Linked DNA regions of Elephas maximus indicus. The protein of the gene in region 2 interacts with the protein of the main gene of each other region in a pairwise test. Links are inferred from orthologs where the notes say so. Each region holds a gene or a part of one and is shown on either strand. Other genes may lie near its edges.

Evidence for each region.
Region 1: the proteins of USP25 (region 2) and TNKS2 interact in a two-hybrid assay, tested with the Homo sapiens proteins (2 studies listed by BioGRID and IntAct). The link is inferred for Elephas maximus indicus from reciprocal best matches to the Homo sapiens genes USP25 and TNKS2.

What each region holds. Positions count from the first base shown.
Region 1 is NC_064834.1:43,095,334-43,102,718, reverse strand, and holds the start of TNKS2 (poly [ADP-ribose] polymerase tankyrase-2), read right to left. Parts: upstream 3,006-7,385; 5' UTR 2,681-3,005; coding exon 2,482-2,680; intron 1-2,481. UniProt on the Homo sapiens protein: Poly-ADP-ribosyltransferase involved in various processes such as Wnt signaling pathway, telomere length and vesicle trafficking.
Region 2 is NC_064836.1:45,945,423-45,953,430, forward strand, and holds the start of USP25 (ubiquitin carboxyl-terminal hydrolase 25), read right to left. Parts: upstream 3,003-8,008; 5' UTR 2,901-3,002; coding exon 2,853-2,900; intron 1-2,852. UniProt on the Homo sapiens protein: Deubiquitinating enzyme that hydrolyzes ubiquitin moieties conjugated to substrates and thus, functions in various biological processes including inflammation and immune response.

The sequences.
Region 1 (7,385 bases), on a different chromosome or scaffold from region 2:
GTTCTCTTTTATTAATCACTTGGAATGATCTCACAGAGCTTTTTTTTTTTTTTAAAGTCTGTTAGACACCTAGGTTTAAAAGTAGACTTTTAAAGCTTCCAGTTGAAATATAGATCTCTGAATAATTTTTATTACTCCCTTTTTTATACTTTAAATTCTTAACCTTAAGACCTGTACCTGATAATGTGGGTAAGTTGTAGGGTGGATCGGTTCTTAAAATATTAATTTTTCTGTTTTAATTTGAAAAAACAGCAAGAAATCTATGTAAAAGGTGCCTTGAAATGTTGGGACAGAACTGGGGGTGGGCTGGAGGTAGGGAACAAGGTCGATAAAACAATCCCTCAACCTTAAACCTTGAAATATTACTATTCTCAGATATGAACTCATTAATATACCAAATTCTTGAAAGGTAGCAACTAAGATCTTCCTTGGTTATTTTTATCCACAGATCAAGTGAACAGAATCTAAGTAACACTACCCTTTGGTATCAGTTGGTTATGACACTGTGCCAAATCAGTTTTTCAAATGTTGACTACATGTTCAAACAGGGCAATCCAAATTAGCTGAACGAAGGCAGCAATGACCATCAAAATTTCAGGCAAAATGGCTAAATAAGTGAGATCTGGCTTTAGTCCCTTTCTTCCTTCCCCTTCCACTGTCCACCACCAGTGGTCCCCCAAGCCGCCTTCTCTCAAAGATTCTTCACAGTGGGAACTCAACAAAGGTAAAACTGATCAGGAAGCATACCTCCTGGTACCCACTGCCCTTGAGCCGATTCCCACTCACAGTGACCCCCATAGGGTTTCCAAGGCTACAAATCTCTATGGACACAGATTGCCACTTCTTTCTCCCAAGGAGCCACTGGTGGTTTTGAACCACCAACCTTCCGGTTAGCAGTCAATCACCTTAACCACTGTACCACCAGGGCTCCTTATGCCTCCTGGTACTATTTATATTTTACAACGGTTGCAGATTAAAGCAAACAAATCTCCAACTGGTTGTTGCTAGTTGCCTTCCAGTCGATTCAGACTCATGGCAACCCTATGTGTGCAGAATAGAACTGCTTCAAAGGATTTTGAAGGCTGTGCTCTTTCAGGAGCAGTTCGCCAGGCCTGTCTTCCAGCGCGCCTCTGAGTTTGTAGTTCCTACGCTAGTAGTCCAATGCTTACCCATTTGTGCCACCCAGGGACTGCCTCCGATCGGTAGAATGTGTAAAAGCACTCTCTATGAATAAGGAAAACTTTGCTCATCACCCCTGCCCCAAAAGATCGGGAATGCTTTAAAATGTATCCCTCTACTTTTTAAAAAAATTATTTAAAATTATCATGTAATACACGAAATAAGAAACCAGGATAATCAAAGGTATGAGAACCTACTCTCGCTTTCAATCATGCATGGCTCACTTGATAATTAGAGACAGTCACAATCTTTCTCAAAGTGAAAACCTTAACTCCTTTATGTAAGTAAGTCTAGTTCTTTTAAAATTTTCAATTAAATTTAACACACGTTTATGTAAAGTGAACTTAATAAATGTTAAAAGAAATTCAAACAATCTGAACCTCAGGACGGAGCAAAGTTAATCTCAACCTAAATTCTAGATTCCAGCTAGCCTACCCACACAATCTCTACTCTCATCCTACTTTCCAGCTCAACTTTTGTGTATGGCAGAGACTTAACAAGGCCAACTGGTCTAAGTCAGATCTCAGTTCTCCTAAACTTACCTATTTTCACTAATATTCTCTCCAGAGGCTTGCTAATGAGTGGTGACCAATTAACGCTTATATGTCAACTGCCAAGAAAGCCAGTCCTACTAAATAACTTCCTTGAATTTTACAGAGGCCTTTAAGACCTTGGTCCCCGGGTAGCACAAAAGGTTAAGTGCTCCACTACCAGCCAAAAGGTTGGCGGTTTGAACCCCCCAGGGTCTCCAGGAAGACAGGCCTGGCAATCTGCTTCGGAAAGGTCACAGCCTTGAAAGCCCTACGGAGCAGTCCTATTCTGCACACATGGGGTCACCATAAGACGAAATCCACTCTATGGCAACCAACAACATTAAAACCTTAACCCAAGGAATGGTAAGAGAGCTTGCAACTCGGCTGCGGAACTTGCAAGAAAACAGTAGATTCTGGAAATAGTTTTTCAAATCACAAGGCTTACTACATTCCTACTCTTGCTTGTGTGTACAGGCCTATTAGAATAGCAAGACCGGAAGTTGGTACATGTATTGTTGATACTGTAAAACAAAACAAAGCCAAAGCAACAACAACAAAAAACTTGCAGCGAGCGCGGCACGCTCCCCCCAGCCACCAATCCCCTCAATCCCCACTCAATAAGAGCGAGATCTCCAAGACCGGCGTCCTGGGGGGAAAGGCTGGGGACAGAGGAGCACTGTGTTTGGTCTCCGGGCCTGAGGGCCCCGGAGCTTGGGGAGGAGGCGCAGGTGGCGTCCGGAGCAAGGCGAGGCGGCGCTGCCCCGGTTACCTGCGGCGAAGTGGAGCGGGGTGGACTTCCTGCCTGCCGTGTCGCGGCTGTTCACCTTCTCCGGCGTCACCAGCCTCTTGACTCGCTCCACGTCCCCGTTGCGGCACGCCTCGAACAGCTCGCGGGCGGCCGGCTCCACTGCATCTACCACCGCGCCCGCGCAGGCCGTGCCCCCGCCGGCGCAGCGGCGGCCCGACATGATCCTGGCCGCCGCCGCCGCCGCCAGCAGCAGCGCCAGCAACGGCAGCAGGAGCCCCGACCCCGCGAGCAGGAGGGCGAGGCCCCCGGGAGGAGACGCGCTCAGGGCCCGGGACGCTCGGCTCCCCGCTGTCACTGGCCCCCACGCAGTCCCACGGTCTAGTCGCTGTGCGATTCCCCAATCGGCCCAGTGCAGCCTGGCTGCCCCCCGGTGACGGAGGCAACACGAACGCGCTGTCCGAACTCTGAAGCGACGCGGCGGCGGAAGCTGGCAGGGCCACTCCTGCCAGCTCCGCGGAGACCCAGGAGCGCACGTGACGTAGCCTCGCGCGTGCGCAGTGGCGGTAGACCGGCCGGGCGGGTTTCGGAGAGCCGGGCCGCACGGAGGGGTTTGTGGGAAATGTGAGGCGAGAGTCCTTGGCGGCGAGAAAAGGGGCTTCGCCCCACCGCCATCTTTGTGGTGAGGTTTGGTGAAGCTGAACAGCCGTACTTTCTCTCTTAGTGAGTGAACTTTCCGAGCTGAATTTCCTCACTGTTTCCTACAGTGAAAAATGAACCCTTGAAAGTCTTACCCTGACATAGGAATTTCGGAAGTCTTAGTGTGAAAGTTTTCCCTTTTTTTCCAGCTTCCACAGCCCTTTTCTCCTTGGGGATTTGTTTTTCGCTTTCCTTACTCTTCCCTTTCCCCGAAACTGCCTTTTTTGTTGTGGTTTTCTTGGAAGGAGGAGTTGCTTTCCACTCAGTGAGAAGTTTGTATGAGCTGCCCCAAGACCTTTTAAAGAAATTAGGAAAGCGATGGAAGTTTATTCCAATTCTAAAGTAATAGTAATTAACAGGGATGGCTCTGAGTAGTTACTCTTTAGATAGTTATTAACACAGGACTGACTAGAGAATTCACACCTAATTCGATGTTGTATTGGATGTGGCTGAGATGCGAATACGCGAGGCGTATACCTCGCCAAGAGTGTTATTTGAGTTTTAATTTTTTTCTGTGGCCAACAAACCCTAGGAAAAATGCTTAAGATAGTGATGCAGCAATTTATGGTCATTCCCCACCCCATCTCCTTTTGCCTCAAGGAACTGCAGTTTGAAAGAAAGGTATACTTACATAAAATGGTATGTTGACCTTTGGCATGTTGATAAGCATTCCCCCCACCGTGGTATTAACTTTTTAACCTGTTTTTCAGGAAATTCAGTATTTGGGAGTGTGACTCATTCCTGTGCCAAAAGAGAGGGGACATACATACTTTACTTTTAACCTGCATGTATGGCACAACCTTGCTTGCTGAAGGCGGACTTGAAGCTCTTACTGATGAACATCAAAGACTATAGCCTTCAGTATGAATTACACCTGGACATAAAGCAAAAATCCTCATAACTGCAATGATAAGCAGCATCATGATAAACGGAGAAAATATTGAAATTGTCAAGATTTCATCTTACTTGGATCCACAATCAACATCCATGGAAGCAGCAGTGAAGAAATCAAATATATTGCGTTGAGCAAATCTGCTGCAAAAGACTTCTTTAAAGTGTTAAAAAGCAAAGATGTCAGTTTGAGGACTTAGGTGTGCCTCATATGCATGTGAAAGCTGGCCAATGAGGAAGGCTAAAGAAGAATTGATACATTCTGAGTTAGGGTGTTAAGTTGTTAGGTATGGTGGAGTCATTCAGACTCATAGTGACCCTATGCACAACAGAACAAAACACTTCCTGGTCCTGCGCCATCCTTACAATCGTTGTTACCCTTGAACTCATTGTTGCAGACACTGTGTCAATCCGCCTCATTGCGGTCTTCCTCTTTTCCAGTGACCCTGTACTTTGCCAAGCGTGATGTCCTTCTCCAGGGACTGATCCCTCCTGACAACATGTCCGAAGTATGTAAGATGCAGTCTCGCCACCCTTGCTTCTAAGAAGCGTTCTGGTTGTACTTCTTCCAAAACAGATTTGTTCGCTTTTTTGGCAGTCCATGGTATATTCAGTATTCTTCATGAACACCACAGTTCAAAGGCGTCAGTTCTTCTGTCTTCCTTATTTGTTGTTCAGCTCTCACATGCATATGATGCAGTTGAAAATACCATGGCTTGGGTCAGGCACACCTTAGTCTTCAAGGTGACATCTTTGCTTTTCAACACCTTAAAGAGGTTCTTTGCAGCAGATTTACCCAGTGCAATGCGTCGTTTGATTGCTTGACTGCTGCTTCCTTGGCTGTTGATTGTGGATCCAGGTAGAATGAAATCCTTGACAACTTGAGTCTTTTCTCTGTTTATCATGATGTTACTCATTGGTGTTAACTCAGGCTGTCCAATTAGGTGGTGATTGCAAAGTATCAACTGAAAGATGATGGTAGTTTGGACTAGAAAGATGGCCGCAGGAGGTGGTGATGGAAAGAAGTGACTTTTAGCAAGAGATAAAATTAATAGAACTTGGTGATTGGGAAATTCAGGAAAAAAAAAAAAAAAAGCCTTCAGGAATGGCTCCAGCCTTTCTGCTCACGCCACCTGATGGATAGTGATGCTGGGAGTCTGACTTTCCATTGAGTTTCTTCTAAGGTTACGCTGGCTAGTTTGAAATGAGATGTACTATAAGTTTAAAATACACTTAATATATCTCACCTGTCTGTCACTTTGTTGTACTGTGGTGGTGTGCATATTGCTATGATGCTGGATGTTATGCCACCAGTATTTCAAATACTAGCAGGGTTACTTGTGGTAGACTGGTTTCAGTGGAGCTTAGTGGGAAGAAAGTCCTGAAGATCTATTTCGGAAAATTAGCCAATGAAAACATTATTGATTGCGACAGAATATTGTTTATTGAATGCGACACCATTTGTCATTCTTCGCATAGTAGACCTATGATTGTCTGATTCAAAATGGCCAAAACCAGTCCGTTTCAACTCACTACTGCCTAGGATATCACTCTTTGTGTTCCATTTCATTTTTGATAACTTCCAATTTTACTAGATTCATAATTTGTACATTCCACGTTCAGATTATTAATGGACATTTGCAGCTGTTTCTTCTCATTTTGAGTTGTGCCACATAAGCAAATGAAGGTCCCAAAAGGTTTACTTCATCCTCATAATTAAGGTCAATTCTACTTTGAGAGGAAGCTCTTCCCCGGAAGTATTTTGTGTGCCTTCCAGCCTGAGGGGCTCATCTTCGAGCGCTATATCAGTCAATATTCTGCTACTTTTCATAAGGTTTTCACTGGCCAATTATTTTAGAAGCAGATCGCCAGGTCCTTCTTCCTAGTCTTTCTTAAGTCTGGAAGCTCTGATGAGTTCTGTCCACCATGGGTGACTCTGCTGGTATTTGAAATGCTGGTGACAATATCATCACTGCAACACAAAAGCTACCGCAGTACAACAAACTGACAGATGAGTAGTGGAGAGTTGAGTAGTTGCCCAAAATTTTAAGTATCAGGCCATTTGCAGAAGAAACTTGCTGACCCCTGGTCTAGATTATTAAATCCTTGTTGGCACGGCAAATATGTTCTGCAAATTGGATTTCTGGCTGTTAACTTTGTGATTTCTTTTGTTGCAAATAATCTTTAATGTAGTCAAATCCTTTAATTTTTATCTTATGCTAGGAAATTCAAATCCTTCTCTGACACCACGCTATAGAGAGTCAATTCAATCTGTTTATTAATTCCAATTCAATTCTCCTCTGTTGCACTTCTGTTCTGACACCAGCTCCGTGTGTAGCACTTCTTCCTCTGACCCTCACAAGGTCAGATATTGCAAGACAAAGGGCACAGTCCAGCACACTGCCAAGTCTGCCAAAGACCTCAGATGCCAGCTGCAAGCCTGGGAGTTCCGCAACACCCTCACTTTTGACCTGCTTGCTACAAATTCAGTTTTTTCCCCCATTTCCCCCTCAGGATACCAGCTGCAAGCTTGGGCGTCATGAGGCCCTCCTCACTTTCAACCTATTATATCCTACTTCTCCCTTGGATTTGATAATTGACTAGAACGACACAGAACTCACAGAAAGCACTATATTTACAATTACAGTCAGTTTTATTATATCAAAAAGGATAGAAATGAGGAGACCCATTGGGTAAGGCCTGAGAGAGTTCTGACTGCAAAGCTTCCATGTCCCTGAAAGGGATGCACTACCCTCCCATGTACATTGATGTCTTTTACCAACTGGGAAGCCCATGGAGCTCTTGTGTCTAGAACATTTATAGGAACTTCGTTAGGAAGGCATGATTGGTTGAATCATCCAGGAGTCACCTTATTAGCATAACGTAGGTTAGGTGTGGTCTGGAGCCCTTATCAAAGACATGATTACTGGGAAAATTACAAGGTTTTAGAGATTATCTCTGCAAAACCAAAGAGAAAGACCAAATTCTTGGGTAAAGTTAAATTCTTTAGCCCAAACCTTATGATTTGTAGTTTCAAAGTCTTATTTAAGAAGTGCCTCTTTCCTCAAAAGCCATAAAAACGTACTGCTCCATTCTCTCGGCCTTTCATATTTAGGTCTTTGATCCATATCAAGCATTTTTATTTTTTTTTTTTTGGTGTGGGACTCTGATGCAAATGAATATGGTAAGCTATCTTTATCAACATCACTTATTAAACAGTCCATTCTTTTCATATTGTATTATGGTGCTACCTAGAATCCCTACTTCATTGTATAATCTAGGGCAAGTTACTTAACCTCCCCGTATTTCAGTTGCCTCGATGGTGATAACAACAGTAC
Region 2 (8,008 bases):
TCCCCAAAAATCTGCCACTGAAAACCCTATGCAGCACGATTCTACTCTGACACACATGGGGTCCCCTTCTGTCGCAATGGACTTGACAGCATGTGGAGAAAAAAAAAAAAAAAAGGGCAAAGAAGTGCTATAAACCCTAGGGTGAAACATAACAGGCAAAGTGCTTGTTCTCCTAACTTTACACTTTATTCAACTCAAATCGATGTATTAAATGTAAGTATATCCTGTTTATTGGGGAGTGCTCTATAAATTAATTTGGTCCCTAGGACCAAATGCTAATGCTGCCCTAAGAATCCTCATTTGAAACTTGAATCTGTGCATCAAATATCCGAGATGTGTCAAAGGACGCTCCACTTAGGTAAATACCAAGCACAAAGACTAAAGATACATGTTCAAGACCAAAATTACCGCAGGATTTAATTGTAACTAATTTGCAGCCAAAACCACCTCACTTATAGCATCTAAACCTAAGAAAAGCAGCTCTCTGCAATTCTACTGTATCCCATTAAGTCCTTGCCTTGGCCAAACTTCAGCAATCAAGCAAAAAACCCATCAAGGCAGCCACTTGCCTTCTCATACTACATTGTGACAAGCTATTCTGTAGGTGAACTATGACAGAGCTATGAAAGTTTTGTGTAGTGTTGCTTTTTGAAAAAAAGGTTATTTCTTCTACATCCCTCTGGAAGAAAAAAAAATATCTTGAAAACATAGGAATCATTCCAACCACAATATGGCTATTTATTTTAATACAATATTACACACACACTCTCTCTATATACACACACACATATATGTATTTTTTTTTAAGAAGGACAGAAAACAGGTTAAAATTCTGACTGTGCAAGACACACTGGACACATCTCCTTTTACTGATATTCCATACAGTTTCTAAAAGAAAAGGAAGAGTTTCACTTTTGTTTCTTCTGAAGTCTGAAGTCCACTTCCCAGTTACCAGCTTGGTGGATTTAAATCTGTCAAGTTATTTGAGGTAGATGGTTTAACATATTTGCAGTCATATAAATAGTTTTACTCTAGGATAACAAAGCAGTAGCATGTAAACACGGAAAGCAAACAACAAAACAAAATTATATTACACTGCTCAAGAAAAAAAATTCCCCAATATCAATGAAAAGATTTAAAACACACACACACACACACACACACACACACACACCCCAGACACAAAATGGTAATATTCCGGAATAACAACTACTTCCTTTGTATAAGGAGGGGGTTCACTAAACTAAGAAATTTGACTTGACTGCCAAGACCACTGTCAGTGATCTGATTCTTGATTCTACAAATTTATTCTGCGTTTTCTGATTCTGTGTACTTCCAGCAAAGTCAAGGGAGAAAAGAACAAATTCCTTGCCATTGTTCAAACTTAAGAGGTATGAAAAATATGAACTACTCTTTCCACTTTAAAATAACAGGATTTAATATTCAACACTGAAGACAACTATAGACAAAACGATACCAAGCCTGTTAAAGATTGCTTCGCACTCACAGGGCCTCAGGATCCTGTCCTAAGTACTAACATTCATGACATACACGGTGTCAAAAACTAAAGTTTAAGGTCTTCAAAACAGAAGAGAGAAGGTTTAGGAGGTTACTGTTTTAAACTCCTACTATTAAATCTTGAATTATTTCACTGTAAATAAATTGCAGTCTGCAATAAATCTTCTAAATTTCCCAGTAACAGCTAACATACAAAAGTTCCAAAAACAACTTACCCAAAGTTCCTAAAATAACAATGCACTATCCTTGCTTTCTGAAATTCTTTAGCATCTTCAATTACCTCAAGCACTATCATAAAATCCTAAAAATAATCTCAAAGCAAAAGCTTAATTTACACAAAGGCTGTGTTAGGGACGGAGGCCTTATGCTCAAGTTAAACAATCACAGGTAGGCGTTAACTACTACTCTAAAACTACAACAGGGTGGGGCACTCATTACTCACCCCGACAAACCAAACACAGCTTTGCTGATGGCTCACAGTAAACCTCAATGACCCCAAAATTCCAACACGACTAAAGCAACGTTTCCCTTTGGCCCAAAGTGCTTTTCACACAAACGACGGGAAAAAAAAAAACGTAAGTCACGGTCAACTGCTCTTCAGAATATGGTGCAAGCCATGATGGTGCATTTAAGATTCTGAAAGCAAAATCTACAGTATTTAGAGAGCCTCTCACTCTCCACTATGACAGATTTGAAGGTTCCCAAACAGGAAAAAAAAAATTTTTTTTTTCAGCGAGCGACCATGAGAATGTGTGATTGATGCAGGAGTTAACGGGTGAAGAGTAGAACAAGGTCAAACTTAGGGGACAAAAGATTCCTGGAATAAACATGGTCAAAAGGTTTCCTTACTTCAGGGATAATTTCTACAACCAGAAAAGGAAAAAGAAAAAGGAACCCACCAAATCCCCTACTTCTACATAGAGTCCACCTGGCAATGTACCTGTCCCTCAAGGCAGGCAACTGGATTTTGGTGGAGACTCGTTGCAAAATAGCAGGCCTGGAACGCTCCTACCTTCGAAATACAAACTGAGTTCAGGAGAAATGACAACTGGCTATTCTTAAAAAGAAAGACAAAACTTTAATTAGGAAGGCGTAAAGAAGAGGAGTGTAGGAATGTGAGGGCTCTCCACACCCTGCACCGTCAGTGCTAGGAAAATAACCGGCAGAAAGACGGGGACGGAAAGACGCTAAGGACACCCTGCTCCCCACAGGCGACCCCGCGCTGGGCGCGACGCCCCCAGGGCAAAGCGTCGGAGCGGTGGGTGGCAGGGGAGGCAGCCGGGGCCGCGGAGGCGAGGCCGGCACGTCGGAAGCGGCTCGCGGGCTCGCCTTACCTTCTGCGCCGCGCTCTGCTGCTGCAGCACATTCTGCTCCACGGTCATGGCCCCCGCGGCGGCGGCGGCGACACAGGCGGCAGCGTCCGGTTCCCGGGGACTCCGCCGGCCCAGGCGGCCGCGCTCCGCCGAGCTCCAGGGAGCGGCGCGGACGGCCGGGGAAGACAGCGCCCCCGCCAGCCAGGCGCGAAGGCGATGGCGGCCGGCGTGCGCGGGCACCGCGGGCAGGCGGCGAGGCGCGGGCTGCGAGGGCCACGGCGGCGGCCCCACCTCTCGGCTCGGCCCGCCTCAGCGCGGCTCGGCCGCGGCGGCCCGGGCCATGAGCGGGCGGCGGACGCTGGGGCGCAAGAGGGCGCGAGCTAGCCGGGACGCGTCACGCGCTCGCGCGCTCCTGCTCTGGCTGATAAGGGGTCACTGCTAGGAAGGGAGCGAGGGACGGAGGGAGCGGCCGGCCGGAATGGCGCTGTTCTCCTCCCTCCGCGACTCCTCCTCCCCTCCCCTCCCCCAACCGCCGTCACCGCCCCCGCCCGGCGGCTCCTCCCCTGCCGAGCCCCGCCCGCCGGCCGCCCTAACCCTACATTGTGACCCGTAGGGCGGAGGGGAGGGGCGGGGCCAGCACGGAGGCCCGCCCCCAATCCTCGCCCCGCCCCACCGCGCCCCGCCCCGCGTGAGCCTTGCGCTCCCCGAGCTGGGCGAGGGCGCGCCCAGGGGGCGGGGCTGCTGGGGTGCCGCCCCTGCGGCAGGTTGCGCGGCTCCAGCCCTTGGCTCCGAGAATCTCGGAGCCGAAGCCCGACGGCCGCGTTCCTCCCTGTGCCCACGACTTGTCAGATCGCCCGCTTTCCCATGCCTCCAAAACAAATATTTCCCTCCAGGCCCTGGTACGTCCCAAAACCGCGTTGGGTCCCTAGCCCCAGCTTCTTTCCATGTAACCTGTCCCGCCCCTCTCCTTTCTAGGAATTTGAGAAGCAACAAACTTGCTCAAAGGGAAAAGCCAAGTGTGATTTAAGCAAAGGACTGTCAGAGGTCCTTGCGTTGAAATGTACTTGACTAATCATTACATAAATGAATATTGACCTTTTCCATCTACTTCATTCATTCAAATACATCAGTCTCTACTAGGTTCTAGAAAAATAGGATTTATTCCCCGGAGATTTAGGGTTTCAAGGCTATAAATCTTTAGGGAAGCAGACTGCCACATCTTTCTCCCGCAGAGCTCCTGGTGGGTCTGAGCCGACCTTTTGGTTACCGCTGTAGCATCAGGGCTTCTGTTAATGGAAATGACATATGGCCTACACTGCAAACAACATTATAAAGGAGGATCACTATCTAGACGATACATAATTCTAATATTCCAGTTAATAATATTAAGCAAACAATGAACTACCATAAGTGAAATACTTGACTATATATGGAATTGAAAGGAAAATATAACGTTGAGAAAGCAATCTTTAGCTGGAAAAACATCTTGAGTTTCATGGGCTACACTGGGGACTGGCAGGGTGAGGGGTGAGCTCATATTGTCTCAAATACGGTACACACCTCTGCAAATCCAGGTAGAACTTTTAATCCTATGACAAAAGCAAGTTTAGTAAATGATAACTGAAATAGTATCTGGTTTTATTTAATAAGCATGGATCATAGTAACTCTAAAATAAAGCTTTGTACAATCCTGTACGCTTTACGACCCTCTTTGGTCTGCCCTTTACATACCTTCAACCACCTTTTGTGATCATTCCCTTGAATCTTCATATTTATTTGCTCATTTGATTTTGAGAAATTGCAAATTTCATTTTATTGATGGCCTACCTATTTGTAAGAACTTTTTGAAAAGTCATGAATGGTTGGAAACTCAGAATATTAGGAATAACGCAACAGTTCTCATCAAGTGCAAAAATCTTTTTGGGAGAACACTGAGGCCCCAAAAGGGTGACGTGTCAAGCATAGCATGCAAGAGCCCATTTTTCCTCACTTACAGCCCAAAGATCTTTCCAACATGCTAATCTCATGTATCTCTGCATTAGAGATGTGTATTTTTTTAAATCTGTCAGGTTCATAACATTTAAACTTAAGAAAGTTAAATTTAGCATAAAAATTTAGGACCATGGTTAAAAAAGTGACAGACATTAAAGTTTAGCTTCAAGAATTTGGCAATACAGTGTTCCTCTGAGTTAAAATTTTTAGCTCTACAAATATACATATACATTTTTTTAAACTAGGGCCTCATACTGCTAGTACAGGTAAAAAAGATAAATCTCTTCATGAAAAATATTTTTTAAAAAGTTGCTGTCAGATCAATTCCAACTCATGTGTCAGTATAGAACTGATTTCCGTAGGGTTATTAATAGCTAATTTTTCAGAATAGATCACAAGGCCTTTCTTCTAGGTGCCTACAGATGGACTTGAACCTGTAACATTTTGGTTAGCAGCCACCTAAAACCCACTCCCGTAGAGTCGGTTCTGACTCATAGTGACCTCACAGGGTTTCCAAGGCTGTAAATCTTTACGGAAGCAGACTGCCACATCTTTCTCCCACAGAGCCACTAGTGGTTTCAAACCACTGACCTTACAGTTAGGAGTCAGACACTTTAACCCCTGCACCCCCAGGTCTCCTTAGCTCCCGCCTGGCACTCCAGAACTCTTCATAGGGTAGACAGATTTACCTACTTGGATCTTTGATTTCCAGTTCATTTCTGATAATTTCCTATAATTTACTTACTTTTTCTTGCTGTAATTTTCTAGAACTTTGAGGAGAAACTTTCAAGTTTCCTTACTTGTATTTCTTTTTAGAAAGCTTACAATTGGAATGAATTAAATATTGTTGTTGTTGTCTTATGCCATTGAGTCAATTCCGATTCATGGCAACCCAAGTGTTACAGAGCAAAATTTCTCCATAGGGCTTTCTTGGCTATAATCTTTTACAGAAGCATATTGCCAGGCCTTTTCTTCCACGGTACTGCTGGGTGGGTTCTAATCACCAACCTTTTGGTTAACACACAAGTGCAAAAGTACAAGATGGAAATTTGAGAATTTAAGATAAGTTTGCACATAAAACCCATTGAGAGGACTTCCTAATTCTTTTTCAAAATCTGTCCCTATGCCAGTTTTCTTGCTCAGGACTCAGATTTAATACATATGGTTGCAGGAGTTATATACCCTGAGGATACTATTTCATAACTCTTTTTGGTATACTGTTGCATTACTCTGGAACGTGGACATTCAGATAAAAACATGAAGTGATAGATTTCATATAAAATGAATTTCTTTGTTTTTTAATCATAGGTCTAAAAGTAAACAGATTTATTTTGCATCAAAATGCTGTTTCTAACAATTTTCAGTGTTGTGTTTTGTATGTGAACTAAAGAAATTAGTACTCCTCCATCTTGAGTATTCCTTTCTTTCTGTTGACAAAGGGTTTGAGAATCCATTCCCGGAGACCAAAAGTCTTCTGTTACCAAAACACATTTGTAAGCCGTTAGTAAAAGAGCAGCATTCAATTCATAGGGTAGATGTGAACAATTTTCATGACAAAAGAATAGTTGTTAAATGTACTTGGATAAAAATCAGAACTATCTTCCTCCTTTAGGTATACAGACAGTCCCCAGTTAAAAACATCTGACTTACAGAAAGCTTGTACTAAAGAATATACTACCATAAAGCCAATTATATTAAAAATGTAAGTTAAATACAATGGTTTGTAATAACAAACGCAGGCACTATTTTGTGATGCTCGTGAAAGCATTGTAAGGTTTGGAAGTGTTTCTTAAGTGTTTCATATGCATAGAAAGGTGAGATATATGCTATATACTAAGACAAACGTTTGACTAACTGATGCTAAATAAAAACCGTATGTACCTCTTCCAACTCACCTGCAAATTCAGCTTACAGGCAGACTTAGGAAGGCATCTCATTCATAATGCCGGACTGATATCTTAGAAATAATTTTATTTTCCCCAATAAGGAAACAAAAAGCAATAATTCGAAGAAAAGGTTTCTATGATGTCTCAATGGTACTATTCAGTGATAGAGTGTTTATAGATTACAATCTGCATTAGGATCGTCTGCTTAATACATGTGCAATGAAATGCTTATTGAATTAACTGGGCAGCCATGAAGAAGAGAAAACAAAATTATTTATGCTGTTTACAGCACACACCCAACTCTACTTTCTCATTCCAAGTGGACAGCTTTGTGGTTCTGAACATGACAAAGTATGGCATTATTAGGATTTCCAACTCTCAATGGTGTCTCATACCCTGAGAGCCACCAGATATTGCTTCTTTGGTCATAGCCAATCTATTTTGCTTCATTGTGCATTTCAAACATTTGTCATGTCGAATCTTCCTTTTCCTGCCCTATACCCATGAGCACACAGATTATTAGTAAGAGATGTCTTAAAGAATAGTATCACAACATTCTCTATCAATACTGACACTTACAATTAAAATTGTTATGGAGGAAAGCATTCTGTGAATTGAACAAGGAACCTAGTCTATTCTGAACTCTTGCTCTGCAAGGTCTACTTAGAAAGCAAGGTTTATATAGAGAAATAGCCACACTTTATCAACTGAGAGCCAGCGCAAGTAGAAGTTTCTCGCCTGTTACCTCTTGCTTCCCTCACCTTGAACATGCCCAAATTCCTACTCTTATGGCGAAGATGGCTAAGAGGCCCCAGACACTTGCCCCCTCATTTCTTTCCTTTCTTCCATTTATACTGTACTCAAGAGTCAAACGCCTCCCCTTTTACAGTGATAGTCGCAGATTTCCCTGAAATCATCCTAATAACATCTGAGCAGAGGGAACAACATATTAAAAAATGACTAATGTCACTTCCCAAGGTTTGTCTCTCCTGTATTCAGAGGACATGATCACTACATATATACAAATTCCCAATAACCACAGGGCCTACTAACCCTGTGGCCTTGGGCAAGTCACTTAACCCTTTTGTATAAAAACCAAACCCAATAGTCCTTGCCTATATGCATTCTTTGCACTTCTACTGCTCTGCTCTGAATCACAGGAAGTACTACCCCTGCATATTCCCCTCTTTAGGTCAGCTGGCTTCAGAATGAATTTGGCCAGCAAGAGGCAGAGGTGAGGTATTGAAGTGTGGTGGAAAGGGAGAAGCTAGGTTATTTCTCCTTCTCCCTCTCATTTTG